7 linked regions of the Oryzias latipes genome follow. The main gene of each other region encodes a partner of the protein of the gene in region 6 in a complex. Links are inferred from orthologs where the notes say so. Each region holds a gene or a part of one and is shown on either strand. Other genes may lie near its edges.

Region 1 (4,229 bases), on a different chromosome or scaffold from region 6:
GAAAAAAACAAAGCCATTTATTCTCAAAGGTTGTAGAGAAACTCACATTTATGCATAAAATCGTAAGCAGTTAACAGAAAAAAAAGACAGGATCTGCAGTCGTCACTGGTGTCACTAGGTAGAGACACTCTGCAGCAAGGTGATGTTGTCGCCCTTTAACATAACCCGACCTGTGAAACAAGGAAAGAAATTTATCTTGACATTTTAAAAACTGACATTCCTGAGTGTATAACAAATAAATACTGACTGGAAAAATATTTCTATGTTTTCCTCAAACAAATATTTTGTTACAGCAGTTCTAGAAACAAAAGCTAACAGTACATGTTAATAAATACAAAGAATATTCAAATTTTTCATTGTAAAATAAATAAATAAAGCTGTTCTAATAACTGCTAAGATCAAAAAATAGTAACTGAAATTTAACAAATTAAACAAGCTAAAGAGTCTTACCCAGTGGCTTTCTGTTCTTGGTCTTCATGTGGACCTCCTCAGCATCATCTAGAACCAGGTTCATGTACTCATCAAAGCCCTGGAAAATAAAATAAAAAGGAAATAATCAATTAACTACTTTCATAACTGAAGCTGTTTGGATTCATTTAAATTCAGGCTCTCAAGGTTTTTCCCCCCCAAGAAAACGGCACAGGTTGTTTGTTTTTATTTCGGCTAAAAACAGCATAATCATAGTTAAAAGATCACCGAGAATGTTCTGAAAATAGATTAAAGTGTCAAGAGTGTAGGACCGGCAATTTCAATTGGTCTCCTAATTCATGCTTAGTTTGTCATTATGCTGTTCTCATTGATCATTTACCTACTGTATTGTGAGTCTGAACCAGTGTGTGTTTTTTTTGTTGCCGTTTTCAAATACATTTTTAAATCAGCTGCAGAGTTCTGCTCTACTGGTAAGAAAGGTGCCCGCTGCAAAAGCAGCTAAAACAGAGCCCCAAAATAGTCGTAGAAAAAATTTCTGCAAAACAGTTTTAAGTTGATTATTGTGGATCTAACACCAGCCATTAAGAACTTTTACCAAGCTCCAATAAAAAAAATAACTAAAATGCTAGGTCAGTGGTTCTCAAACTTTCTCTTGTTCCCCCTTTTGGAGCGGAGAAGGAAAACCTGGAATCGTCGATCGTTTTTACAGTCTATACCAGTTTTAAAGTAACTGTGGCACACATTTGGAAAGTTAACAAACACTGTGAAAGTAAAATAAAGAGAAATCTTACAATGATGCAGCCTTCTATCCGCATGTTCACCTGCTCATAAAGCCACACCTGGATTCGTGAGCGCTGCAAAGCAAAGATGACACGAATCAGTATTTCAGTCACCACCGAGACAAAAGGTGAACCTGCAAGAGCCTTCAATACTCACGTTCTGAAGGTATCTGAAAATGAGGTTCTGATGAACAGAGTCAAGGAAATGACATGTCTAAACCGTTTCAATGTTACAGAAGATATTTCAAATAACATGAACTAGTCATTTCAATTTCAGTAGAGTGACACAAACTGTTTTGCACTTTAACCGGAGAGCTGAGATCCTGTTAAATACCAGTGAATGTCATACATTTCAATGTAAGCCAGTGAAAAAGGACTTCACAAACCAATTACATGACCGAAATGATGAAATAAAGCTATGGATGACGCAGAATTTGCTCGAAAGTCCCACTCAGATCATTTTGATCTATTTTTGAAGTATTATCGGCGGTCTTTTAACGTTAGTTATGCCTTTTACCAGCTTACAGAAATTCTGCAATTGTTCTAGAGTTTTACAGTTTACTATTTAACTTCTGCTGATGTATCCACGTTATAACGTAAACTGTAGGGCAACCATGTCAAAACAACTGAAGACACGCTTAAAAATGGATTTAAAACGGGTTCTGGCATTAGATTTTCTCTTATTTATTGACTTTGTTAGGGGTTTTTTTACGAGTCAAATTTTAATGGTATTCTTAATTTCTTTAACATCTTTTTTATTTTTTTATAGATGACATGTCACTTCATAATCAAGAAAAATAAGAAAACAGGTCTCACACACTCACAGGGACAAACTTGAGTTAAGTTAAAAACCAAATAAAAAACTACAAAATATGACCAATTGTTACAACAAATCAAAAGAACATTTAATTATCAGACCAAAGTAGTGCATTTAACTAATATTATTAGTTTAAGTCGTTAAGTGCAACATCTCGATTGTTGACTTCTTTTTTCACTAAAAGAAAACTCTGCCAAAGGTAAACGTGTCATTGTTTTCTTCTTTCCAATTAAACAAACGTATTTTTGTAAAATGTATAATAGTAAATTGATAACCCATCATATTGCTATGTACGTTTAGAAAATGCTAAAAATGTTTGTTTCAAATTCAATTTCTTTCGAAGTACAACGTCGTGCTTAAATTTGATCGATAAACAGAAAAATACGTGCTTCAATACTGAAATTAAAAAAAGTCAGTAAATATGCATTCCAATGTATTTAGAAAGTCATGTAGTACCTAGAAAAAAAAGGAATACAGTTTACCGATGAGCAAACACGAGAAATAACCGATTAGCATCGCTGCTAACAAATGCTAACAGCAAAGAAAGGATACAATGGGCTGCACCATAACCTTCTGCACCTTCTGTCCTTGTCCTCGGTAAGCCATTCTCTTCACACGCAAAAAAGACACGCAAGAAGTATTTCGTTAAAGAAATATTGCCTTTTACAATTGAATGATTTCAACGTTCAGCTCACGATGCCAAGTTGCCTTAATGGCGGGTTTCTTTCCGCATCCGGTTCCTGCACTGAAAGGTTTCCCTTCACCGAACAAGCGCCACCTACAGGCAGGATGTCAATACTGCACAATTTGATATTTGGTCAAAAATTACGTTCAGTGTGAAATCCTTCAAATATGCAGACTAATTATGACTTATAAAAAGTATGAAAACACATCTGGTACCAATTAAAAGGCTAAATTTAATAATTAAGTTGTTTTTGAGTCACCATATTTTTTGTCAACGTCTGTTTCAGTACATATTTATTTCTTAATCCTGAAGGGAAAAATACAAAGGTTTTGCTTCGACTTTTTTCTTGTACATTTTCAGTAATCGTTTATTTTTGCTTGGATTAATTTCAGTGATTAACACAAGTACCAATAATATTTGAACAGCTTTCATATAGCAGAAAAGAAGGTTTAAATATTGATACATCAACTAGTTTGGATATAGCGTCATTTACTTCATAGATGTTCAATTGTTGGATGTATATAGTCTAATTTATCATTTAGATTTTTATTTTTTTATTTTCCTATTACACATAATATTAACAAGCATACAGATATGTAATTACTGTAGTTGTTTTTGCAACACAAATTCAATAAGTGAAAATTGTTGATAATTTTTGTAATTTTTCCATAATTGTTCAAACTTTTTATTATTATTATTTTCTTACAAGTAATTTTGTTTTCAATATTAGAGTTTAATTTTGTAAACTATTTCCTAAACATTTATCTTGACCAGGTTCTACTGTCACAGCAGTGACCTATTTTATCCAAAAGAGGGCAGCAGAGAAAAACAAAAACATAAGAAACAACTCGAGCCCAAGATGAACATTAGTAAAAGGTTTCACTTCACTTTCCTTATAAATAAACTTAAAGTTCTAATCTGAGTTCTACAATAAACATTGTTAAAAAGTGCAGTCGATTTAAAGAAGTTGTCTATAAAAGTATTTAGTCAAGAAGGTGAGAGGTACAAATGATTCTTCTTGTTCAGTAGTGTTCTTTCTTCAAAAAGGTTTAGAATTTATCGCATAACTTTTGTTTTTGATTAAATGTGAAATATATTTTCACCTGCAGATGCAGACCTATGAATTTAGCAGGAACATGAGCTCCATTGAGGAGTGTTTTTTCCCCACCTAAGATTTTTGTGAGCTAAATTAAGAATATAAAACATAAAAACATGTATGTGACTTTCTAATTACATGTGTGTTAAATTAAATTAAATTAAACCCCACTCTCTCTCACACACCTAAGTGTGCGAAATTTGTTTCCGCATTTGACCCATCCTGGGGGAGCGGTGAGCTGCAGACACAGCTGCACTCGGGAACCATTTTGGTGGATTTAACCCCCCCAATCCAACCCCTTAATGCTGAGTGTCCAGCAGTCTTTGGTATGACTCAGCCTGGGTTTGAACCCATGACCTTCCAGTCTCAGGGCAGACACCCTAACTCTGAGCTGGTTAGAGAGAGATTATGCAGATGATTTTA
Region 2 (4,076 bases), on a different chromosome or scaffold from region 6:
AAAAAAAAAAACAGCATTCAGGAAGCAGGGTGTACCAAGAATAAGGAAAAGTGGACACACCATTTATCAGCATTGGTTAGGAACCACTCACCTTGTGCTTTCAGAATGGCCGCTTTGCCTCTTCCTGCTCCAGAACCCTGGTTCTTGTTCTTCATACTCTTTAACATTGGAGCGTTCTTTAACATGTCTGGTAAGATCAGAAAGCGGATCTTGCTGCCACGAATGTACACTTGTTCCAGCTGGGCAACCCGCCCGTCACGATAGGTTACTGTGATGTTGGACATCTGTTGGGACATAGAAATAAATGGTTCCGGTCTTAGATTCGTAAAATGGCTTGATACACGTTTACAGTGTTCAATGGAATGCAGGTTAACATTTTAAGTTATCTGTTAAACTTGGCAATGCAGTTCTCTATTTGAAAACACATTTGTAGATACTTCATTTAATCCCTTAAAATAATTTCTAACAACCTTTTTGATTTGTCATTTGATTAATAAGAAATCTACAATTATTAACAGAATATACGTTTTAGAATATTTAGCGTTTTGTTAAAGCCTTCACACTTATCTTTAGAGTACTTTTAAGACACACTGAGCTTTATCCACCAAAATTTCTGCTTTTAAATGAAATAAACAGATTTGGAGTCTATTAAACTTTTACTGCACTAATGAAGCTTGAAAAGACTATCAGCATTGACAGGATGTTTGGGAAATATATTTAGTTACAGTACTCAATACTTTAAGAAAAATGGCTTTAAATATTTCAAGGACAAATGTGCATATATGACCAGATAACTATACAGATTTTTTTAGGGGGGGGGGGTGAATTGGGTCAGTTAATAGAAAGAACACAACTTAAATTTACAAAATAAAATAAAATTGTTATTCCAGATTTGTTTGTTACAGATGTGCAACCAAAACTAGAGACCCAAAAAAAACAACAAAAAAACAAAGGTCATAAAGGCAACCTGTCCCAAAACTTTAAAATAATCCAACATAATTTCCTTTTTCCACACAGGGCCGTTTGGTTTCTTAGTGCTGTGTTTCTATTTACTTCCAACGGTAATGATAAATCATTTATGGTTTTTGTTTTTCCCTACAGGTCACTGACCTGATGCATATTAGTAAAAGGGAGTATGTTTTGTTGACTGTAAAAGCACCATTGATCTCATTGAGTAATTAAGTCACTACATCAATCAATCATACGTTACACACGTGTGGTTGGCTGAGATTTTGAGGGACAAAGAAACCGGGAGAGATTTTTCTTCGAAGAGGAGTAACCGATTTGTCTTTCGCTACAAACATGTTGAACAACTGTTTTTTAAAAAAAAAAAAGAAAGAAAGAAAGTATAACATGAGTTTGTCTCACCGCAATTGTTTTACTAAAATACTACATTCTCAACAAACCTACTCAAATAGTTCTACATCACCTGCTTGTTATAATTGGTAGATTCTAGACTTATTCCTGTGAAAGCAAAAAAAACAAATGTGCAAGTCTAAATAAGAGTTGGTGCAATAAACTGCATTAAAATACCTTTGGCATTTTTGTTTCCAAAAAGTATGTGAAATAAAAGGGGGGGGGGGCAGCCAACAATAAAATGTCCATTAAAAAAACATTCTTGTGTTCTTTACACATTTAAAATGTTCTTCTCAAGTGTGGTACAGTGAGTTGAACTCTAAATAGAAATTTACGGCATGCTTTTTTTTTTTGGGGGGGGGACGTTACTCCATACAAACCTGGCAGTTCATGTTGTCTTCAGCCTCGATCAGTTTGCCCCTGTAAACCTCTCCAGTGTTGGTTTCACAGGTCACAATGTGTCCCTCTGCTTCATGCAGGACCTTGATTGGTACGCCAATGGACATTTTGGAAACGGTCTTTCTAGGCTATTAAATTAAAAAAAAAGACAAAACATACGGTAAAGGGCACTGAAACATACAGTATTATCACAAAACCTGACGTACGGTATTGTCTTTGTTTACAGAAGGCTACTGAAAGTCTACAACATGCAATTCATTCATCCAATTTTATGATTATTATGTTTGCATGTGTCTGGCTTGGAAGTAATATTTACTGTTAGAACATACTTAAGACTTGTTTTGTGCTGTAAATAAGGTAATTTACACCCACAAAAAAAAACGTACAAAAAAGGCACTTAAGTATAACAATGTTTCCATTATCATTAGCTAAGCTACCTCGTTAGTGATTTATTTCTTGTACTGTTTATCAAGACGGTATTATTTCTACGTAGAGAAATCAAGTGCTGCAGAAAACTCTTCAGTTTTGGATTACACAGTTTAATCAGGTAAATGTTCGGGATTACTTTTAAAACGTAGTAACGCTAATGGCTAGCTTAGCTAGCCACGTTAGCTAACTAGCCACCAACTACTGGCCTCAAGCGAAACAAAACATTAATTAAAAACTGTGGGAAGTAAACCACCACAATATATTTAACGTTAATGCTTCACACCCAACATTGTTGGGACTCAAACGTGCAAATTATTTTAGACACAAGCTAAATATCAGGCATGGATGGAGCGATGGACATATTCGAAACTTAGCAAATGGGAGGCAATGTAGACAAAAAGCGATAATTCTGAATCACATTCACAGCTAAATACCAACCACAATATAATACTTGCTAGCTTTAGTAGCTAGGGTTTAAAGTCTTACTTCAACTCCCTTTGAATTCTTGAATTGTTGTTCTTTTTAGCGGCTCAGCAACGTGGGCTAGTCGTTGAGCTTGGCGTTTGAGCCTTTTTTCCGCTTACCCACAATGCACCAACAAAGCGTTTGTTTCCTGTGGCGCTTTTCGCCGTGCATTATGGGACATGTAGTTGATTCTGATTACCTAAACCAGGTGTGTTAGGTCAAACAGAATGTAGACTCACTTGAGTCAGCCAGTTACCAGAAAGATGGTTAAGGAGAAACAACAACAACAATAATAATAATAAGTGTTATTATTTTTTGTACTATTATTATTCTTTTTTAGTAGTATTGGAAGTAGTAGTAATAGTAAATAAAAACTAATTTTCATCAAAAGGCCTCAGAGAGGTCCAGGAATACCAATCATTATAGGACATTGGACTTTCAAACAAAAATAGAAATCATGAAACGTTAACAGATTAAAAATGTACACAATAAAAAATGACTTGTTTATTTGTCCTGAATTAGATTAACATGAATTTAATTTGATGATTACTCATTGGAAAAAATCAACTATAATGGAACACTGGATAGATATTTGTAAAAATATTTTATTGATTCCTTGCAGTGGTGCATGTTTTTTTTCCATAATCCTCCTCACTATGTTTTTTCTCTTTTCCTTATTTGTTTTATGTGAAAGATTTGAATCCCGAACACGTGTATAGCTGGCACATATGCTTGTCAAAACATCCCAGCAAGAAGAGATTATGAAAATGAAACGACTCAATCAATTCAAATGGATTTTTTTCATCGACCACAGAGAGCTATAAACATTTACTCTACATAGTTTTTGAATGAACAGACTTTACGTATCATATACATACCCTTGCGTGTTTATTTATGTGGACTAGTCTTTTTTACCACTTCAGTGAGACGCATAAACATTGCTTAATGCGGGGCTTTCTCACGCTGGAAGAGGTTTCTAATGAGGAAAGACAAAGCATAATGGGATAATAAAAGACATCACCAAATGAACCATCATTTGATTTCCATTGCAACAGGGTCATTGACTGGCGTCAGCAGACAGGCTACTCTGTAAACACCTGTACCTGTGCAGCGTGTGGTCATGTGTATCTACTTTACGTGTCCATGAGGGTTTCAGGCGTTTAATGCATGCTAACCTGACTCTGAACGTAGTTCCAGTCCAGCCATGAGCAGTGACATTTGCAGAGATCAAACAAGCACTTGTTTTGGGTGGATGCTAACAGGCCTGTTTACACTGATGCCTTTGAATCATGTCACTTAGATGTTGATCTGGGTTGTCAGCTTTTGTTGCCAGGCAATTATCCAATTGCTGATCAAGCAAGCAAAAGGATTTACTTAGAGGTAAACACTTTGTAGGGGAAAGTGCACACCTATAGATTGTACTCAGA
Region 3 (4,265 bases), on a different chromosome or scaffold from region 6:
CCATCTTCTCACCAATTACCCATTTGCCCTGAGCTGCTGAGCAAGCAGAAAAACAGTGTTAGTCCACCTGAAATTCTCACTGATTCTCAGTGAAGAGCAGTATAAACAGGAAACAGTGTGAACTGAGCGTGGAGCCTGTTTGCGGTGCTGTCTGAGCTTGTTGCAGGATCTCTTCCATCACAAAGCCATGATGTAGCTGAGGGTGGAATGGGCAGTACCACTGCTCTGATCTGCCTCCCCTCCCACTGACAAATCCAGTATGAAGAACTGGATCGTCCTGAGAAGAGAGGAGGCGCACACCTGTAACCCTACAAACACAACGCGGAGAATAGCAGCCTCACAGGACCAGAGGCTGTGTATGACATCACAAACAGAACGTCTGCAACCCATTTAGTTACATTAACCAGTCTAAACTAGTGATGTTCAATAAATATAGTTTTTTCCCCAAAATAAAATAATGACGCAATAAATCACAACCGCTGCATCATTTTATCTTTACTTAAATAGCATTTTGCTTTTTATTTTCCAACACTTGGTTGGTATCCTGTATACAAGAAATTGTTATTTTTAATAAAAAAAATAATAATTGAAAAGCAATTTATTTCGTTTTTCTGCTTTTTAAGTCCACCTATTATAATTTTAGACTGTTATTAAAACGATTTCTTATCTTTAAATGCAAGACTTTGAAAAGAGTAATCAATGAACATAAAATAGCCTTTTTTGGTCTGTTAGTTTCAATTAATAAATCGATTAATTATTTAGTGTAATCATTAAAAATAAATATTTGAATAAACTGCAGATTACATTTTAGGAATATATTCTCTCTTAAAAGAATTTTAACGGTTTTCTCACTAACGGAAAGCTTCATTATGTGTAACTATTTACATTTCATTTCTCGTTTACATTAACATTTCGCATACGGAATATTTCTAAACAGACCCGTTAGACACTGAATTCCCAATAACAGCTTTACTACCACTCAAAACGCTCTGGAATATTAGTGTAGACAGGACAAATACCTCAAAATGAACAGATATTTATGAATTAATTTACCTTCTCGCTGCTCTGCGCGGATGACACGACAGTGTCCTGTGAGGACAGAAAGCTCTGGAAAACGCTAAAGGACGGTACTGGATAACGTTGCCAGGTTTGAACATACACGCAACGCGTCGAGAGAAAGGTGAATTTCTTTTCTTTATAGTTTAGTCTTTTCAGTTGTTTCAATTTAAAAGTGGCAGGGATGCAACAAGGAGATGTTTGTGTTGTATTTAAATTTTAGGTAAGGACTATGTATGGATTTACACATACTTTAAATTTAGTCTTTTAAGGATGGATGTTGATACCATAAGTTTTAATAATAAACATTTCACATTCTCAAAGTACGCATAGATATATATTGTAAACTAATTATTTGTATAAAATTCAACTTTGTTGAACTGGAAATCGAGGGATAATTCGAAACGCACGTGTGTGTTGCCGTTTGAAATCTTAATTTCACCGGACCTGGCAACCTGCGTACCGGAATCGACGCGCGCATGCTCGAACAGTATGGCGGACGAAGCTGAGCAGGTTAGCGGTTCTTTCGCTAATTATATGTTTAACCTTACAACGAACGAACAGAAGCCCACTTTGCTTCTAAAAGTGCAGACTGCGCTGCACGCTGCATTATTTTTAAAGTGCTTTAAGGTTATTACAGGAACGTTTTTGACCTGTTTGGGGCCGTGGAAGCGGCTAACCGAGTTAGCCGAATTATTAGCCTTGGTGTTCCTGTGTTTCAATTGAACGCAAATGTTTGGTTTGAAACACAGTTCATTGCTTTAGTGCTAACCAGGCAGCTAAATAGTTTATACAGGAAGGAAAGTTTGTGTAAAATGTGTGGGGAAAACAACAGCTGTAGCTCCAGCCGTCGAGGGCATGCATTCTGCTGTGTTCATTAAACGGCCTTCTTCTGATTCTGGTTACCTCAGGTGTGTTTTGCTAATCAACAGCAGGCAGACTAGGACACCTGCCCTCGAGGACTGAAACTTTACATTTGAGGTTTCTACTCTCTGAAACGCTTGGCGTTTCTGGCTGCCGGCCGCTCTGGGAGGGGGGGGGGCGCCTACCGCGGCCGGCTGGGGGGCCGGTCGCTCGGGGGAGCCTTCTCCCCCGGTTGTGCCCATCCGCCCGCTCCTCCCCGCTCTCACCCAAACAAATATTGCACACAGGCACATAGGGCCCCGGGATCTGGATGGGAGGGGTATGCTGGCGGGGCTCACTGGGGATGCCCCTCTCTGGGTTCTCGTTGGCACCCGCCCTCCTCCCCGCTTTTTACTTGCATATTAGACACTCTGATTCATCTAGGGCCTTGTGGAGAGGGTCTGGTGGAGGGGGGCACGGTGAAACATCCGTGCTCACCTTTCGCTGGCCCCCCCACAATTTTAACTTCCTCTGTAGACACACACACTGCATGCTAGCAGCACACACACAGCAAATACACACCACTCACAGAGGGACTCCGGAGTGGGGGGCTTTGCGGCTTGGCAGCGGTGGAGCCCCCCACACTGGTGACCTCCTATTTTACCTGCAGCACACACACAGCACTCCCACACCTCCATACATGGGTGGGGTCGGGGGGGGGGGGCGGCCGGTCTTCACCCGCCTGGTCCTCTCAGGGCGGCCAGGCTTATGGGTGTCCTGTCGGCTGCGGGAGGGGTCGGGCATGCGGCGCTGGGGGTTGGCCGGCTGGGGGGGGGGGGGGGGGGGGGGGGTTACTGCTTGGCGGCGGGGGTAGGGAGGGTAACCAGATGATTGTGAGTATGTGTGTGTGAGTGCATGGGTAGGACCGACCTGGGGGCTGGCTCGCTGGGACCCTCTGGGGCTTTCCCTCCCAATCACAGAGAGGGGAGGGCACTGAGAGGGTTGGGGAGGGGGGGTCAGATATTATGGCGGGGGGGGGGTTGTAGTGCGTCGGGTTTTAGGGGGGTGGCTGTGGCTGCGGGTGCGTGGCGATCCCTGGGTTGCTAGGGTCGCGTGCCTGGGCTGGCTTGCGGGGACGGGGCGCTGGTCGGGTGGTGGCCGGCTCATGGGTTCCGGGGCCCTGGCTTCGTCCCTGGCCTTTGTCTCGGTGTCCGGCGCCCGGTGGCCCCCATGGCTGCCGCCTGGTACGGCTAAGCGCTCCTGTCTTGTGGCCTGGGGGCCGGACACTGGGTTCGCTTGTGCCTCTGGGCATTGGGGGGGCCCCTGTAGGGGGGCCCTCTCTGTGCCTGGCTGGTGGGGTGGGCGGTCCCCTCCTCCTCCCCTCCCGGGCTGCCTGGGTCCGGATGCTGGGGGGGCTTCTGGCCTGGGGGGCTCTCCTCCCCTCTCCTGGTCTGGCTGGTCTGGCTGGGTAGGATCTGGCTCCCTTTATGAACACACGGTTCACGTCGGCAGCATGCATGTATCTCCACCCCCACGTGCACGTGCACACTGCCACACTGCTCCCTGTCTGCTTCATCCCTCCTCCTTACCTACAGTGTATTGATGGACAGTTTTTTTTCCGCTCATCTTAGTGTCAGATTTTGACCTTTGATGTAACATTCGTCTTTCCAGCAGATCTGGTATAATTGTTACAGCTTAAATTAATAACTTAGTCAAATCAGTGCTTGTATCCCCCACCTTTTCACCTTTCTTCCTTTTACTCTCTTCCACCCTCCCCTCACATTCTTCCCCTCTCCCTCCCCACACACACTAAATGTAACAAATAAATAAAAAATAATACGACAAAAAGGGGTTTATACAAATCTACACTCTAGTTTCTTGAAGCTATATAACCTCTTTTTGTGATAGTAAAACCTGTCCAACACAAAAAGCCTTCAGCTCTAATCTGTTTGCTCAGAAGTTGGACAGAACAAGTTAGAAAAAAAAAAAAAAAAAAAAAAGATTAGTAAGCAAACTGACTTTCATTCTAATCACAAGGTTTAGAATTTTTAGTCACCAAAATGTTTTTTTTTTGTCTTTTATTTTTATTTTTAATGCTATACTCTTAATTTAACAGTTCAAACACATTCACACAGGTTACCCAAACGCCAATACATGTAATCTGCCTTCACTTGTTTTGCTGAAACCCATGAGATTAGTAATGCTTTTATATTAAACATATATAAATGTCACAAAACAGTCGTTTTTGGTGTCTTAAATGTAGGTTGGATGTTTCAACATTTTATTTTGATTGCTGAATTAAAAACTGTGAATCACAAGTTGATTTCTGTGTTGTCAAATTGTGTTGAGATGGGAAAAAAAGTAGT
Region 4 (4,117 bases), on a different chromosome or scaffold from region 6:
TCTTTCACTAAAACATTACATCTGTGATAAATTCAACATTTGTCACAATTATGCAGATTAATTGATTGTACTGCAGTTTAAGATATTACAAAATACTTCAAAGTAAACTAATTGGACAAAAATGAACTGAGTAGGGCTGTCCAAATAATTGTATTTCTCCATTTAGTTAGTTCTTTGTTAGACAAAAGTATTTCTATATCAAAGATGTTTAAAACAACAATTACATTGCAGCATATTTTTAAAAGAACTCTGGCAAAAGAGCAGTTTTTGAGAATTATAAAATTCCTTAAATAGTTTTGAAGCCATTGACTATATTTATAATACAAACAGAGGTTTTGATGAATTTACAGGCAATTCTATCAAATACTAATAACCATAAGTGACTGACCTCCTTCCTCCTCTCTTCTTTCTCTGTCCGTCCAGCGGGGCTGGCAGTGGTTTGACCTGCTTCACTGGTGGAGGTTCCTGCCATTTATCAAACTTTCTCTCTATTTCTTCTTTTAGGTCATAGCCAACCTGCATTACAAAGGGAGTTGAATAACAGAGACAGAAATTATATTTCTGAATGTTCCTTTAATTTGAGATGTTTACCTTTCCATCTGGACTCTCGTGGAAACTGTCTACTCGAGAAGCCAGAGTGCATTTCGCGGCCACCAGACGAGCTGCCTTCCTCCTAAGGTCCTGAGGGGGGAGAACAAAAGGGGAAAGGAGATAACTAAGGCAAACAAACATTAGATGTGGAAAAGGTACTTGTTATTCTTGAATATGGTGTACTGACAGGAGGCAATGACTGCACAACATCACAGTGGTAGATGTAGCCCGTGTGAGGAAGCAGCGATGTGCTACTGAAGCCTGACAGAGTTTTCCTTTGGGCTCCCAGCAGCATCAAGTTGCAGGCTGGCATCTTTGAGAGGTTTGTTAGGCCTCCAGCAATGCCTTCAGCCAAACAGGGAAAAAAATTCAAAAGTAAGAAAAAAAAATGTATGGGCATAAAAAAACTTGATATTTTCTAGATAGTTTCACTTCCTCACCCATGATCTTTGCTGCAGTCGATGCTCCCACAATGATTGACAGGTTTGGAGCTATAAAGGACATTCTGGACTCTACATATTCATATATCCTGTGTTTTGACTGGTTGAGCTCCAGAGCCATGTCACAAGCCTCCTCAAGCTGCTTCAGCTCATCTTCCGTTAGCAATGACCTTAAGAGGAAAACAATAAAATATATAAAGGGAGTGTCTATGTAAATAAAATAAACAACAGACATAATAATGGAAATGTTAAAAAAAAAAGTTTATTGTAATAGGACACAAGTACCAACATTCTTAAACTTACCCCTGTGTAGTTGATGCAGTGACACTGACGACCATAATGGTGGCATTGGTTAGAATTTGCTGCAGGGTTTCATTGTTTTTACATTTCTCCAGGTTGTTTCCCAATTCCTTTATACGAAGCACACATTTACAACAAAAAAAGGGGGAAGATTTAGAGGTTAGATGCAAAAAGAAAAAAACAAACCTATGCAGAATAATGGAAACCATTCAGCAAATCTTTTCTTTTAATAGAAGAAAAACAAAATCAAAAATTTGATATCCGGTAACTTCAACGTCTCCAAACTTATCTTTTAAGATCAACAAACCTTGACTGTGCGAATGTAATCTAAAGAATCTGGAACCAAAGACTCAAGCTCTGGAAATCTCTTGGAGTATTTGTCCCTTGTAAACTTGTGAATGATGTCTGAAAAGACAGGAGAAACACAGACCTCACACTTTCAGTTGAAAGAATCCAATTTCTTCATTAGGTTTTGTCGCACAATAAAAGTCCAACTCACTAAGCTCATTGTCAATTTCAACTGTAAGATTGTTGGCTGCAACAATCAGCCTGTATTCTGGGTCAGCCTCAACTGGTCCTGAAACTGAAAGAAAATACAGGTAAACAGGAGAAAAAGAAATGGAAGTAAATCAGTAACATTTTCTGTTAAAATGCACATTTTTTCAACACTCACCATCTGAATTCTTGCGCTGTTTTCCAATATATCCAGATATTTTTTCAATTATATCTGAAAACTGAAAACAAGCAGTTAAAAGGGACTGCCTTCAGGTAGTGAAAAAAAGGAACTCTTTATGAGAGTCAGCTAAACAAAGACCTGTTTGCTATTGCGGAGCTTGGCGATAGACGTAATGCTGTCAGTTTTACTGTAGTCCACCTCCATCTCTTCGGGGATATCTTCCAGTCTTTCTGTCCTCCCTGAAGCCCCCTCTCCATCACTCCCTCCTTCCTCCCCCTCTGGGTACAGCCCATCTTCCCCCTCATCTCCAGCTTCCTCCAGGTCAGCCAGAAGCTCGTCAGCCAATGACATCTGCAATCAGAGTAAAATTCATGATCCATCTTCTAACAATGCATCTTTCAGCTTAAACGAGAGTAAAAGTGTGGGCAGTTGTTAAATTTGTGTTTATTGCAATTATTTTCAAAAGGAAGTAGATCTAACGAAAGTCTATCAGTGTTATTTTTTATAAACATCCCGTTGAAAAAAACAAAAACTGATATCAGTCTGCTATTCTGTGTTAGCTAGCTAAAGTTAGCAAACGTTCACCAAACGTCATTCAACACTGAAAAATAGTAACTTACGTCGCACTTTCAAAATGAAGTAAAACAAAACAAAAATATATTTATATTTTTTTAAAAGTCACTTTAGACAGGAAGGGTTCTAATAGAAGCCAATATAGGTAATGCTACTTGTGCGGCTTCTTGCTCCTGTTTACAACATAAAGCTCACGATCCGGGTGGTTTGTCGCAGAATAAATACGTCACGATTTCCGCATGGGATTATGGGTAAGTATCCCCTTTCCTTAAGAGATGAGAAAATAACATACGGGCTTCTTTCTAAAAATGAATGTTCGGTCTTTATGAGTTTACTTGGTTGCTTTAATTACCTTCTCTTAAAAAATGTGTAGTAGGTCGCAACTAAATACATATTTATTCGAATAAGGAGTTACATTTCAGGCCACAAAATAAAAACACAGGTTTTTTTCTAGTATTCCGAAAATGACTTTACTATAACTCTTCTTTTATTTGTAGTTCTTAAAATATTGTTTTAAAAATATTTTTCTATTCTTAATTTATTTTATATTATTTATTAGACCCTTAAAAGCTACCTGTACATAATAGGAAGAGAAGTTAAAAAAACAACAACAAATAACTAAATAAATGACTAGTAAGTTTCTGTGACAAACTGTTAAAAAAAACGTATTCAAAAGTGATGGGACAAAGTAAGAACTTAAAAACTTTACATTTTATATTTAAATTGCGTTTTAAAATATTTACACACAAAATATAATACATACATGGCAGCAAAGTACCAGTCTTGCATTCAGGAAACTAGAGTTTGGTTAACTTTTTTTTTTTTTTTTTTTTACAACAATTTTAATAAATTATGATACTTCACCATAGCACACAAAAACTTTATAGAAATAAGACAATTACCTTTACAATCAAAATTTCATTCACAAAACAATGGGCCACAAATTCTTTATCAATGGACGTTTATGCTTTGACCAATTGTGGTTTCCCACTTTATTAGACTTATATTTATTAACTGTTCTATTTTATACATTTTATTCTGTAACTGACTTCTGCTTTCAGTAGAACATATTTAAATATTACTTCTAATTGACACAATATAGGGACTCAGAAAGGACCCTGCCCTTGCAACAAATTGGTGAGGTATTTGAACGAATGAACAATGACTGGGACATGACCCGTATTGGATAAGAGGCTCACATTTTGTAGTTTTTATTGTACATCCTCCCCTTTGAAACCCAGTTTTTAAACAATACAATTTTAAACCAACATTTAAACAGACTAAACAAATGGACTAGTTGGACCTCAGCTGCATGATTGATGGCTATTAGTAGAAAATGAAATAAATTAACAAATACACAAGCAAATGGTCTTATTTACTGATGAGCAACTGTTCTGTCATGCTAAGCTACATAAACGGTCATTAAACAAGATAAAGAATGACAAGACTGCTAATAATATAAACATGAAAATAAGGAAACATTACAAGACATAATTCAGTACAGTACAGATTGGCAAGTATTAACAAGTAAAATTAT
Region 5 (4,099 bases), on a different chromosome or scaffold from region 6:
TTCAAGTTTCCATGATCACAAATAAAGCAAAGCAAATATCTAAATAAAATAAACGTCTGTTTAAAAAAAATAGCTAATAAAGTTTTCAGAACAGAAGCTCTAAAAGGAAAACATTTTCACACATTTATTTGTTCTTCCCTGAAAGACGAGAACATGGAGCTGAAGAAAAGCAGAACTTTGTGCTTTAAAACAAACTCAAGTCTTTTTTTGAGTCTTGGTTTCACCTTAAAGCAAAATGAAAAGAATCAAATCCAACGTTATTCAACTTTTCTCTGTTGGAGATGAAGACCGTGACTCAAACCTCCTTTATAAAAATACAAACGTGGAAACATCAGAACAGTCTGTTGGAGGAGGAAGACTCTGATCACCCTCAGATCTTCATCTCCACGGCTCCCGCTGCAGCAGACCCCTCCCCCTGAGTCCACTGTTGCCGTGGAGACGGTGAGCTCAGTGAACCACAGAGTTGAGCGGCTCGGCTCGGATGTTCCCCAAGTCCAGCGTGGAGTCGGTCTCTTCGTCGATCTCACCGATCACCGCTCTGATGAGGAAAAAAAGAATCGCCACGCCGTCAGAATGACCTTTAGAGCCCGCTGGGGGGCTAAAGTCCCACTCCCACCAGCTTCTGATCTATTTTCAGATGGTTCGCAGTGCAGAGTGAGCCCATCTTCATTTCCCATCATCCATGTGTTTACACTCTCTCCTGCTAGCTTACAGCCCCTCACCCCCCCATCTTAACATTAATGGAACAACAAAAACAGCAGCAACATCAGGTCCACCCGTCCAGTTCTGATCCAGATTCCAGCTCAGACCAGGAGAACAGACGTTCATGGATCTGTTGGTCTGCAGGTGGATGATCAGAAAGGGGCGGGGCAGGGAGACTGTGGCCCCGCCCAGAGTATTTTCTACGCTATAAATGTAATTTTTTCCCATCAGCATTTTTTTCGTCTGCTCCTGATTCACAACAATTTGATTAAAGAAAAACTCAGAAATTGATCTCAATGATCTGAATCTATGACCTCCATCATCAGAAAACCTCTACAAGAAGAAGAGCATTTTCATCAGAGCGGCTCTTTGCCCCTGGAGGGGGAGGATTCTGTCGACCTGTGGACTCGAACCCACGGGCTGAAGGTAGACGCTCTACTCTGCTGCTGAGCTGCTTTTACCTGCTGTTTTCAGATCAAATGTCCTTTCAACTGTCTTCAACTGTTTCCTGTTTCTCTGTGTTCTGATGGGAGGACCGGCGGTCTCAGACTCACACGTTGTCTCCTCTGACGATGTAGAGTCCCAGCACCACCTGCTCCACGCCCTGACTGGAGCTGAAGACGCGCTCGTGACTCTCATCCAGGATGAGGTTGATGGTCTGATCGAAGCCTTTCAGAGTTCCCTGAAGAGAATCAGAAATGAGAAAATGAGGCTGGGCTCCAACCGAAAAGAGCGGATCCAGCCGAGGACAGGAGGAGCATTTGAACTCACCACGATCATCCTGCCGTCTGAAGTGACGATGGCCACCGTACCTGAGCCAGCATCGGTCAAAGAAACTCATCCAGAACACATCATCACCTCACAGCTTCTAGGAAGCTCAAAAATCTCTACAGCAGCTTTTCCTCTGAGTTCAGAGCGAAGTGTCGGATCCAAAGTCCCCTGGACTCCAGATACCAGCAGAGAAAAAGTTTAAGAAAAAACTGAGCCCAGGTGACCGAAGCCCCGCCCCGACTTCTGGTTGGTGGAAAAGACAACATGCTGTACAGATTCAGCCTCAAAGAACAAAAACCTTCACAGCTGCTTTTCTGTTGCTGAGAATAAACTGCATCCACTGCTGCCTAATTGAAATCAGAAACACAATTTTTATTGGAGTTGATTAAACTGAGTCAGTGTGATGTTACTTTTTACTGTTTTTTTGTGGTTTGCTTTTCAGCAAAACAAACTTCTCTGCAGCTGATTTAAATACGAATTTAATTATGGGATGTAGGAGAAATTAGCACGAATCTGTAAGATAAGATTCAGTTTCACTGAAGACACGCGGGGAAACCAGCAGCATGTTTTCAAAAAGATGAACTCTGGGAAAATAAAAGCGGTTTAGAAGTAGAATTCCTGATATTCATCATGAAGTTCTCAGAATGTTTTGGTTCCTGTGAGGAGATCCTCCTCCAGAACTAAAGAGATTCATGCAAATCTCTTTAATCTCTAGGAATAATCTAAGGAAATATAAAAGAGCATTTCTCCTAATTATTTATTCTTTACTTCTACTGACAAACCCGGTTCTCCAATGATCGATGAATAATAATCAGGAAACGATAAGAAAAATAATCTGGTTTAAACTTTCTGCTGAAAATAACCCAAAAGGCTACAAATTCTTATTTTTGCACGATACCCGAACAAAAGCACAAAATAAACAGTGTTTGAAATCTAAAGATGAATTTAGTTAAGCCTACTAAATAGACATTTAAATTACACTCTTTATATTTAACAAAACACGAGTTTTCGTTAGCGCGCTAAGCTAGCAGTTAGCCCTCCATTCATTTAAACGGCGGTTAGCCTGTTAGCCGCTAGCAGCAGCGGAAGGATACGGTTGATGTAGCTCTCCAGCGCGGTGGACATGTTTGTCCGGAGCTCCTTTTTTATTTATCCAGCTGGCGGGAAGACTTGCGTTTGAAACAGGCTAAGAGAACCCGCAAAAACACCGCACAGGCTAACGGCGGCAGCTAACAACAGCCAGGCTCAGCTAATCTCACACAGATTCATAGAGCTGAGGCGTCAAAGCGCGCATGCGCATGTCCTCCTTCTTCTTCTGTGTTTTCTTTTGGCGGTTAGCAAACACCCTGCTGGCGCATTAGTGTCACCACCTGGGACGGAGTTTGGAGAAATTGTTTTTGAGCTGTTCTTTACTTTTAATTTCCATCCTCACACATTCACACATTATTAAAATCTGCTTTAAAAAGTGTTTGTTTAAAGAACTTAATTAAACAAATAATCATACAATTAAATGAAATGACAGCTCCAATCTGAACTTTTCAGGCTGTTTTTCTTAAAATTTATTTTTGTAACAAATACTTCACACATTCCAGCATCATCAGAACCAATCATTAGATGTGGTCATTATCCGGTTTCACGTTTCTCTTAACGGTTTAGGATCCAAAACTAATTCTAGCCTAGTTTTCAGTTTCTCCTTAAAGACCCACTCTGATGTGATGTTTTTAACATGTTCTTGTAGCATTTTTCTCGTAATGGAGAGCATATATAAAATTATTTAAGATAAAACTGCGTTTCTAAGTACTTCTTTATTAAAATCGTAAATCAGTAGCAAAAAAAATGCCATTTGAAAAAAACTCCCAGTTGTTACGCAGCAACAAAGATGGGCGGGGCCACAGCCTTCCTGCTCCGCCCCTTTCTGATCATCCACCAGATCCATGAACGTCGTCGTTCTCCTGGTCTGAACTGGAATCTGGATCAGACCTGGATGGATGGCAAGCTCTGATACTGCTTGCTGTACGGTTACACTAGTAAAGTTAAGTTGGGGTTGTGAGGGGCTGTAAGCTAGTGGGAGAGAGCGTAAACAAAGGGATGATGGGATATAAATGGAGACGTATCTCCATTTTAACATTCAGACCAGGCCGGTTGAAGAACCTCACCTGATCATCTGTTCTGCGTCCTGGACGACCTCGGATGATCAAGAGAGAAATTAAGATTTCCTGAAGAAGATTTTGACTCAGAGATTTTTACAAATGTAAAACTTTAGTTCAGTTTAATGTGAAACATTATATACATGACAGGAAACCCAAACAGACACGTTTGAATGCATGTGCTAATGTTAGACCACATGTGGAGTCACAGCCTCCCGTCTCACTTTATTGTTGCTCAGTATTAAAAAAACAGAAGGTGGGGTGGGAGGTGGGGGGTGAATGAAGGCTGACGGGACTGGGACAAACACCAGGAACCTCATGCTACCAAAGTATTAAATTTGTACAAAAATACTTTACAACATCCTTGTTCCTTTAAAGAAAACAAACATACAGTTTGGTTGGTGAAGCTACATGAAAACGACTCTGACCCACTATTTAAATGGCAGTGCTGTGCACGTGCGTGTGTGCGTGAGTGAGTG
Region 6 (4,271 bases):
TGAAACCGAAATTTTTTTTTTCACATGTTAGTCTTTATCTAAGTAGAATCAGATTATTTGGTGCATTTAAATGAAGGCAAACACATGATAAAACGTTGATTTAAGCTTTATGGCAGACTAATAAAATGTGTTATTTAAAACGGATTGAAAACAACTAAATCACTGATTTCTTTTTTCTTTCAAAATGTCAGAAAGTTTTTACCTTAAACACTGAGTTTTTATAAAATGTCAAACTTTTTTCTTGCCATCTACAGTAGAGCCACGTAGCAGCTGAGATTTCAGACTTCCTGTTAATCTTACAAAACAAAACCAAGGACACTCTGCTGGTTGTTGTTTTTTTTAGAACAATCCAAATACCTTGATGTCATTGTCGATGCCTCCAGACAGGATTTGGTCGCTGGTGTCATTAAACGTCACGGCCAAAACTTGGTAGGTGTTCTGGAAGGTGTGAATTGCCGCCTTTTTACGGATGTCCCACAACTGCAGTGACGATTAACAAAAATACAATAAAGCAACATTTAAAAACTTTGAATGGGACCTCAACAGTTGAAGCATTCAGAATAAATAACTGCACCTAAAATAAAAATGTCACACCTTTATCGTCCCATCATCGCTGCCGGTGCAGACCAGTTGTGGCCCCCGGCGAGCTGGGTAGCAGGTGTTAACAAAGGAAGTGTGACCTTTCAGGCGCTTAATCCTCTCCCCTGTTTCACTGTCCCAAATGCCCACGGTCTTGTCTGTGCTTGCCGAAAATAACAAGCTGGAGGCACAAAAATGATCCAGTCAAATTTTATGGAAAGGTTATTTAAGAAATGTAGATAGTTCCAAGTCCTAAAATTTACAGATGAACATTTTTTTTGTTCCATAAAGTTCCTTAGTTTTTGAAATCAAACTAAGACTAAGAAACAATGAGAATATGAGCTTTACTTTCACTGTAAACATAACCTAAAACAAGAAAAATGTCAATTTAAAGGTGAAGTTTAAAGATAAAATCTACAGCTTTCTTCCTACCTGCCATCTGTGTTGTAATGCAGCTCCATCACAGCTCCACTGTGGCCCTTCAGGGTGGCGTAATTTTCACACTCCCCAAAAACGTTCCACAGAACTGAGGTAAAGGAAGTAAGTGAGGAACAAAGCAACAGAAGAAGGCCGGGAGAACGGCAGCTTGCCTCTTTTTGCTTACATATGAGTCGGTCGAAGCCAGAAGACGCCAGCGTGGCTCCATTTGGATGAAATTTGCAGCAGTACACCTCGCCCTCGTGGCCCGACATCAGCATGATGGGAGCTTGCAGGCTGGAGGTCCGAGGAGGACCCTGGAGGAGAAAGGTCAGTTTAATTTACTTTCTGTTTTTTTCTTCCAGATTTAGTCCAAGTGAAATCTAAAAAGAAAACAGGCATGTGATAAAAGACAGATAAATAAAAGTGCGTTTGGGCTTAATGTGCCACAGAACGCTTCAGAGTAAAGTCCACAAAGTTTAATGCAAATCTGCAGCAGACCAGTGAGGAAATGGATCATTTGTAAAGGATCAAATTGATCATGTGACACAAAGGATCTTGCCACCCTATGGTGGCACACTTTCCATGCAGGGGCTTGTGGTGCAGAGGCAGAGCGGTCCACCTGATCACAAATATCGCAGGTTAGGTTCCACAAATGGGTGGGCAAGGCGGGAACCTAACCTGCGATATTTGTGATCAGGTGGACCGCTCTGCCTCTGCACCCTATGGTGGCACACTTTCCATGCAGGGGCTTGTGGTGCAGAGGCAGAGCGGTCCACCTGATCATGAATATCGCAGGTTAGGTTCCCGCCTTGCCCACCCATGTGTGGAAATGTCCTTGGGCAGGACACTGAACCCCACATTGCTTCTGGTGGTTATAGTTTGGCGCCAGTAAGAGAGCGAAACCGCCATCAGTGTGTGAATGTGTGTGTGCATGGGTGACTGTGAATGTGACTGTTGCAGGTGATATGTCATGCAGATTTTTGCAACATCAAAAGATGATTGCTAAAATGAAACCCCAGTGTTTAAAAGCTATTTATTTTTTACAATAGAAAAAAAAGATTTAGTATCTATCCTGTTAAATATCCTATAGTTTTGTCTCAATAATCAAAATATCTACTTACAGAAAAACATCTACAAACTGGAAAAGGTTTAAATACACAAAACTCATGCTTAATAAAAAAAATAACATTTTTTAATTTTCTATCATAACATTAGCCTAGGATTTGTAACCTGTTCACGGTTCACCCCGGAAACACCCATAACTGGGAAAGGTTCCTTTACCATCAGTTTGTTGATAACAACGGGATTTCGAATATAATACGTATTTTAAAGAAGCAACATTACATCCAAAAATTAAATATCCTAGCGAAAACTCGTGTTGTTATTCGTTGTCATGTGTTCTCTACGTCAAGAAATAATAGGTGCACCACAAAAAATGTCGTGTTTGAGTAAATTTTAGATTACATCATTTAAAGCATGCATAATACAAATGCGGGTCAACACCCGTGTGTATATATTTTCTCTAATTTGAGTTTTTTTGTGTGAACGTTGATTCTTTTCGTACCGTAGCCACGAGTTGCTGGGACTGTGCCGCCGCCACCAGCTCGTTCCGGGCTCGCTTCACAGCGGTGGGAATTACCGCCATGTCTCCCGCTCTTTTCTTTGGTTCAATCATCCCGAAATAATTGCAAATAATCGACAAAAATAAGTTTGTTTGTGACTACGGTTTACCGAATGACTATTTGCGCCTTCATGGGAAACGAGAAAAGCGTAGCACCAACGAAGAAATCAGGATGAAGTGTTTCCGGTGAGTATGAGCTGTGTGATTGGTTTAAACATCCATCTCCTGCTGTGATTGGCTGATGAAGACGTTGTCAGCGACAATGCACCGGAAGTACAACAATCTGAGTTCAGCTAACCACACGAAAGGTAATATTTTCATCCTTTTTTCAAGACTTAAGATACTTTTTGCGTGATTTTCCTTATCGTTCTACCACGACAAACGCCTATACTGTTCATGTCTGAGCTTTTGTCTTTGAACTGACGGTACAAACCGTAAGAGGACGAAATTATAAGCTAACCAAATTCATTGCTGACTTGTCTTGTTGTCAACTTAGATTTTTTGTTCGCTCGATTATTAAAAAACAACAACTTTGAGCTAATTTTTACATAAATAAAATTAGTAATTATATTTCTTTGGTACCGGGAAGTTAATGCTTTATTGCGACAGGTTGGCTTCATCGTAGTTTAAAATGACACGAATGACAATTTTCATTTTCAACCACATATTTGTACAAATAAATATCCCAAAAGGCACAAGGTCATTCTTTATTTGCAAGAAGTGAACAGCACAGCAGAGGTTAAAAATTTACCGAACTCTTTCTGTCAACCACATTACCTTTGAAATTAATTCATTTTCTTTTATGACTTTCGTTTGGTGAATTGGATGAAAGAAGATTGCTGTTTCATTTCCTCTCCCAAATTATGTAGAAATCTAAGAGAGGCAGTAAGTTGTCTTAAAGGGAAGAGTTTGGTCGGAAACCACGAAGATAAAGGGATTGCAAGTTTTCACCTCAAGGTCTCTGCTCTCTGAATTGTCTGGGCATAAACACTGATGGCAAATCTATCCATTTTGTAAACCCGTTTTGTCCCTTTCGGGGTCATGGGGCTGTCAGAGCCTTACCCGGCCACTCGCATGTTTTTGGATGGTGGGAGGAAGCCGGATCTCCTGGAGAAAACCCACGCATGCACAGATTTAGAGTAAAGCGCTAACCACTTTGTCACAGTGCAGCCCTGACCGCAGATCTGTACAAGGCAATGTATGCCACCTTAGTGCTGACTGATTGAGGAAACATCCAGGGGTTTTCTCTGAAAACTCACTTTACTGTTATCATCTCTAGTTACATAAAAAACCTGGTCTCCAGTTTGTATACCAGCTTCAGCTTGTACCAGACAATGCAACTACTTGGTTTTGGGAAACAGTACTGGTATAAAGTTGGCACATACCGATTCTAAACAGGTACTTATGACTGTGGCAGAGCACCTCCTCACTTGTGGGTACCAAAATCTCAAAACTAGAGTAGTTTGAGCAAAAAAAATCTAGGATGAGCATAAGAGATTTGACATTTGTGTGGCGAGCTCAGCTCAAATTAAGGGAGTGATAAACAGGCTGTAAGATTTTGAATAGGAGAAAACTCACTAAAATAGAATTTTTACTTTCTCTGCTCCACTTGAGTGTACACTTTTTTTTAAAGAAATTCACTTGACAATCT
Region 7 (4,049 bases), on a different chromosome or scaffold from region 6:
AGGAGAAAGCACCCACGGAGGGTGAGAGGGGCGTTTTTTTAAATTTTATATATATATATATATAGATATATAGGGAGCTGGTTTAGCTCGTGCTGGTTTGCGGCGCCTTCCGTCCGTGAAACCAGGGTTCGACTCCGGGCTGCTCCCTGTTCCCTTCTCTACTTCTGTGCCGGTCCCAAGCCCGGTTGCTTTGAGAAGGTTGCGTCAGGAAGGGCATCCGGCGTAAAACATTGCCAAGTTTACCATGCGACTCGTTCGCTGTGGCGACCCCTGATGGGAAAAGCCAAAAGGGAAACCAACCCTATCTATCTATCTATCTATCTATCTATCTATCTATCTATCTATCTATCTATCTATCTATCTATCTATCTATCTATCTATCTATCTATCTATCTATCTATCTATCTATCTATCTATCTATCTATCTATCTATCTATCTATCTATCTATCTATCTATCTATCTATCTATCTATCTATCTATCTATCTATCTATCTATCTATCTATCTATCTATCTATCTATCTATCTATCTATCTATCTATCTATCTATCTATCTATCTATCTATCTTCTGAAGATGAGACCCACCAACTCACACATTGATTCTCGCACTGTTTTCCCAACAATCTATATGTCATAAACACTTCTCAGCTTACTTACTTAGCCATTGCCTCCTTGGTAACCGCCTCGCACCATGATTCCTCTGTAGCAAACGTGAAATCTACCTGGCGTTGATACAGAGTGTGAGTGCCTGTATGGTGAGATGTCATCCACAGTTTTGGCATCTTCTCCAGCTCCAGGCTCAAATGAAACATTTACAAAACTAAAATCATTTTCTTACATTAAAGCTCGGTAATGCAAGCCTTTCAAATAAACAGCAGAATGTGAGAGTTCGTCAGCACATGTTGTCAGCAGCCTGGAGCTGATGACAACAATTCTATAATTCCATTGGGTTTTATATTATCTGATTATAAATCATTTTTAATTTCACTTATTTATTTATTTTTTGACATTTGGTCTTGTCTCATTGTTATAAAATAGTTTATTTATGTTTTTTTTCATAGTTTGTTTATTTTTTGTTGTTTACTAATTGTGTGAATGATGTTGTGTCATTTTGTAAACTGATTTTATTTATGATTATTTTATTATGACTTTATAAAGCAGATGCACTGGAATGTGATCAGAATATAGTCCGAGTCTTTTTGTTGCACTAATACATCCAGAACGCCAGGGGGCGACGTGAGGCGCGGCGAAAAGCTCGATGCCACTTCCGTTTCCTGTCGGCGGCAAAGCGTGCTTCTAGTTTGTGAAGCTAAAACGTTTTTGTGACGAAGACATAATAAACTTCTAATTTACTGTTAATCGGGTCTAAACTTAATCGAGCAAAATGGTGAGTAACTCTTCAAATATGTAATTTCACACGGCCTTTGGGTTTATTGAAGTTTGTTAAAACAAAGAATTTAAGAGAGTTAGCTCGTTTATGCTAGCCATGTTAGCATCCCATTCATAACTGGTTTACACAGCTCGTAGGGGAAAACAAACTTACACTAAAAACAAAACTTTAAAAATGAAACGGTTAGATATTCAAGTGAGCTTTTACTAAAGTGTTGTTTGTTTTGGGTAACGTGTTGCCGTATCAGAAAATGAACGTCCGTCGGAACAACACAAAACTATGACGTTCCTCTGCAGGTAGTAGTGTGGTCGAACATTATACAACAGATTAATAGAAGTATATAGGTCATTTGAATAATTAAACTGCTCCAAAACCGAATTTATGTACTGTTTCCCAATTATTCAATTTATTTTTTTAATGCAGTCCAGATTGGTTCTTCAGTCGCTCCTGTTGATGATTGGTGGTGTAAAGAAATCAGACGTGGAGACTGTCCATAACATGAATAACCCGCATACTTAAAGTTCTAAATATCTCATAGGGAAAAGCGTCATGTTTGCAGACTTGATGTAAGGTTTCAATCCCCTCTGCCGCAGAGTTTGCCCCTCAACCCAAAGCCTTTCCTGAACGGCCTGACAGGGAAACCAGTGATGGTGAAGCTGAAGTGGGGAATGGAGTACAAAGGCTACCTGGTGTCTGTGGACGGATACATGAACATGCAGGTAAAAGCAACTCTAGCTTCATTCACAACTATATCAGGGTTTATTCTGGGATTTTAAAATGCAGCTGCAACACAGAGGCAAACTACTCAAAAGTAAATGCAATTATTTATTCAATCTATTTTAAATTAGTCAAGAGTGTTTTTATCGTACTCAGTTTGTTATTATTATACATGTTTCTAAATGACCAACAGTGTTTTCAGTCTTCTATTCTGAGCATTAACTTAGACGACTGTTGGTGGAAAACCAATTAGCAGCTTTTCTTGTACCAGTTTACAATTTTTTTCAAAAATTCTAACTATCCTATCATATAACATTTTAATAAAAAAAAGTCGTTTAAAAAAAGGTCAAATGGCTCCTGTCGCATAGTGACAGCCTCTGCAAAGATGACGGAGGCTTTTTTGAGTTTGCTAAACGATCCTGTTCAGCAATTATTGATCAGGAACTTTCCGCTTCATCCAAGAGTCAAAAACAAACTCAATACAGTTTCTAAATGAAAACACTTCTGGTTTTTCACAATAAGATTATTCTGGGCACAAATAACAAAACATTTCTCTGAACCAATGAAGTCATTCAAACCAAATCATAAATGTTGTCTCACATTGTTATTTAAACAGTAAATAAGTCAAAACAACTCTAAACACTTATTTTTTTTAAGTATTTATCTGTGATGCTCATTTTTTGATCAGGGTTATCCGTAGTAATCACAACTAAAAATGTTCCAAATTTAGCTTTTTTGTCCTTCACTGAGCAATTAAGTCTGTAAGTCAGTCGCTGCAGCGGCCTGATACTGCATGAAAGTTGGCTAGCATTTCTAAATCTGGAACAACTTTTCTTACCAAAACATATCAAACCATTTTGTTCTATTGTTTAGATAGCAGCACATGTAGAATAAAAGAAATCTGTTTAAAAAATTGAGATTTCAGACCCTTAAAGCTCTCACACCAAACCGGTGTTGCTTCTCCATATTTTACATAATTCTTTGTATATTTAGATTTCATGAAATTTGACCTTTGCTAAGAAACTCTTGTTGTTTAGATGAAGGTTGTTGTTTAACTTTGTCATCTTTTATTATGAGATTTTAAAAGAAATACATTTGTTGTGTTTTACTCAGAGGAAATTACCATAAACATTTTACTTGTTTAGTTTGTAGAAAAAAAGTGATAAACGGCAGGAAAAGTACATGATTGTTGCAGAAATCCTCAGATGGAATGGGTTTTTACCAAACTGTGACACGCCACCATAACAGTAACATCTTTTCTTACGCTTTTCTAAGCTCTTCAGAAAAAAGTCTTATATCTGGACTTGTTTTTAAAATGTTTAATTTCCTGAAATTCCAAAGTAGATTCTTTGTCGAGTGAATTTTCTCAGGTTAAATATTAGTTAAAAAATGACAGAAAAATATAAGTATTTAGATGAAAACTTGGGTGCTGGAATTAAAGGTTAATCTTTTAACATTTGTAGAAAAGAACAGAAAATTTGCATTTGGTTATTTGGGAAACAGCAAAGAAATCCATAAGATCTTTTTTTTTTTTAATATTCTTGTGGCATCTTTCTCATGATGGAGAACACGTATGAAGAATGAATCAGGAGCAGAAGACAAAATGCCTTTTGATTAAGATCGTATTTGTGACGTTGAAAATATGGTGGGCGGGCAACAAGCTCCCTGCTCCGAGGGAAAGGGGGGCGGGGTTGCTCTGTACCAACAGTTTCGCCACAACAACAAACTGGGTAATCATAATTAGAACCACTGGGAAGGCTTTGACACTAGATCTTAAGATGATCAGAGCTGATCTTTAAACTAAACGTTATGAGTAGTTTACTGTTTAATCCAGCAGAGGGCGCCACAGAATGAACGTAAAATCTAACAAATCTTTAATTTGGTAGAAAAATGAAGAGAAGGTTTGAGGTTTTGACTTTTCTGTATGATGTCTGACAGCTGG

Evidence for each region.
Region 1: snrnp40 (region 6) and snrpe share a complex: the UniProt entries of both Homo sapiens proteins name them as parts of the U4/U6-U5 tri-snRNP complex. The link is inferred for Oryzias latipes from reciprocal best matches to the Homo sapiens genes SNRNP40 and SNRPE.
Region 2: snrnp40 (region 6) and snrpd3 share a complex: the UniProt entries of both Homo sapiens proteins name them as parts of the U4/U6-U5 tri-snRNP complex. The link is inferred for Oryzias latipes from reciprocal best matches to the Homo sapiens genes SNRNP40 and SNRPD3.
Region 3: snrnp40 (region 6) and lsm3 share a complex: the UniProt entries of both Homo sapiens proteins name them as parts of the U4/U6-U5 tri-snRNP complex. The link is inferred for Oryzias latipes from reciprocal best matches to the Homo sapiens genes SNRNP40 and LSM3.
Region 4: snrnp40 (region 6) and prpf31 share a complex: the UniProt entries of both Homo sapiens proteins name them as parts of the U4/U6-U5 tri-snRNP complex. The link is inferred for Oryzias latipes from reciprocal best matches to the Homo sapiens genes SNRNP40 and PRPF31.
Region 5: snrnp40 (region 6) and lsm8 share a complex: the UniProt entries of both Homo sapiens proteins name them as parts of the U4/U6-U5 tri-snRNP complex. The link is inferred for Oryzias latipes from reciprocal best matches to the Homo sapiens genes SNRNP40 and LSM8.
Region 7: snrnp40 (region 6) and snrpf share a complex: the UniProt entries of both Homo sapiens proteins name them as parts of the U4/U6-U5 tri-snRNP complex. The link is inferred for Oryzias latipes from reciprocal best matches to the Homo sapiens genes SNRNP40 and SNRPF.

Annotation. Positions count from the first base shown.
Region 1 is NC_019863.2:23,629,254-23,633,482, forward strand, and holds the start of snrpe (small nuclear ribonucleoprotein E), read right to left. Parts: upstream 2,801-4,229; 5' UTR 2,632-2,800; coding exon 2,578-2,631; intron 1,393-2,577; coding exon 1,366-1,392; intron 1,284-1,365; coding exon 1,221-1,283; intron 530-1,220; coding exon 451-529; intron 171-450; coding exon 115-170; 3' UTR 1-114. UniProt on the Homo sapiens protein: Plays a role in pre-mRNA splicing as a core component of the spliceosomal U1, U2, U4 and U5 small nuclear ribonucleoproteins (snRNPs), the building blocks of the spliceosome.
Region 2 is NC_019870.2:16,128,909-16,132,984, forward strand, and holds the start of snrpd3 (small nuclear ribonucleoprotein Sm D3), read right to left. Parts: upstream 2,801-4,076; 5' UTR 2,671-2,800; intron 1,884-2,670; 5' UTR 1,863-1,883; coding exon 1,737-1,862; intron 285-1,736; coding exon 92-284; intron 1-91. UniProt on the Homo sapiens protein: Plays a role in pre-mRNA splicing as a core component of the spliceosomal U1, U2, U4 and U5 small nuclear ribonucleoproteins (snRNPs), the building blocks of the spliceosome.
Region 3 is NC_019863.2:18,333,455-18,337,719, forward strand, and holds the start of lsm3 (U6 snRNA-associated Sm-like protein LSm3), read left to right. Parts: upstream 1-1,465; 5' UTR 1,466-1,548; coding exon 1,549-1,569; intron 1,570-4,265. UniProt on the Homo sapiens protein: Plays a role in pre-mRNA splicing as component of the U4/U6-U5 tri-snRNP complex that is involved in spliceosome assembly, and as component of the precatalytic spliceosome (spliceosome B complex).
Region 4 is NC_019874.2:19,364,284-19,368,400, forward strand, and holds the start of prpf31 (U4/U6 small nuclear ribonucleoprotein Prp31), read right to left. Parts: upstream 2,801-4,117; 5' UTR 2,628-2,800; intron 2,359-2,627; coding exon 2,146-2,358; intron 2,066-2,145; coding exon 2,005-2,065; intron 1,915-2,004; coding exon 1,831-1,914; intron 1,737-1,830; coding exon 1,639-1,736; intron 1,442-1,638; coding exon 1,335-1,441; intron 1,202-1,334; coding exon 1,032-1,201; intron 937-1,031; coding exon 779-936; intron 682-778; coding exon 592-681; intron 517-591; coding exon 389-516; intron 1-388. UniProt on the Homo sapiens protein: Involved in pre-mRNA splicing as component of the spliceosome. Required for the assembly of the U4/U5/U6 tri-snRNP complex, one of the building blocks of the spliceosome.
Region 5 is NC_019881.2:23,243,759-23,247,857, forward strand, and holds lsm8 (LSM8 homolog, U6 small nuclear RNA associated), read right to left. Parts: upstream 2,801-4,099; 5' UTR 2,599-2,800; coding exon 2,568-2,598; intron 1,515-2,567; coding exon 1,474-1,514; intron 1,385-1,473; coding exon 1,257-1,384; intron 539-1,256; coding exon 448-538; 3' UTR 101-447; downstream 1-100. UniProt on the Homo sapiens protein: Plays a role in pre-mRNA splicing as component of the U4/U6-U5 tri-snRNP complex that is involved in spliceosome assembly, and as component of the precatalytic spliceosome (spliceosome B complex).
Region 6 is NC_019869.2:21,982,921-21,987,191, forward strand, and holds the start of snrnp40 (U5 small nuclear ribonucleoprotein 40 kDa protein), read right to left. Parts: upstream 2,801-4,271; 5' UTR 2,675-2,800; coding exon 2,564-2,674; intron 1,314-2,563; coding exon 1,184-1,313; intron 1,106-1,183; coding exon 1,012-1,105; intron 761-1,011; coding exon 595-760; intron 481-594; coding exon 358-480; intron 1-357. UniProt on the Homo sapiens protein: Required for pre-mRNA splicing as component of the activated spliceosome. Component of the U5 small nuclear ribonucleoprotein (snRNP) complex and the U4/U6-U5 tri-snRNP complex, building blocks of the spliceosome.
Region 7 is NC_019881.2:20,375,325-20,379,373, reverse strand, and holds the start of snrpf (small nuclear ribonucleoprotein F), read left to right. Parts: upstream 1-1,249; 5' UTR 1,250-1,384; coding exon 1,385-1,387; intron 1,388-1,983; coding exon 1,984-2,109; intron 2,110-4,045; coding exon 4,046-4,049. UniProt on the Homo sapiens protein: Plays a role in pre-mRNA splicing as a core component of the spliceosomal U1, U2, U4 and U5 small nuclear ribonucleoproteins (snRNPs), the building blocks of the spliceosome.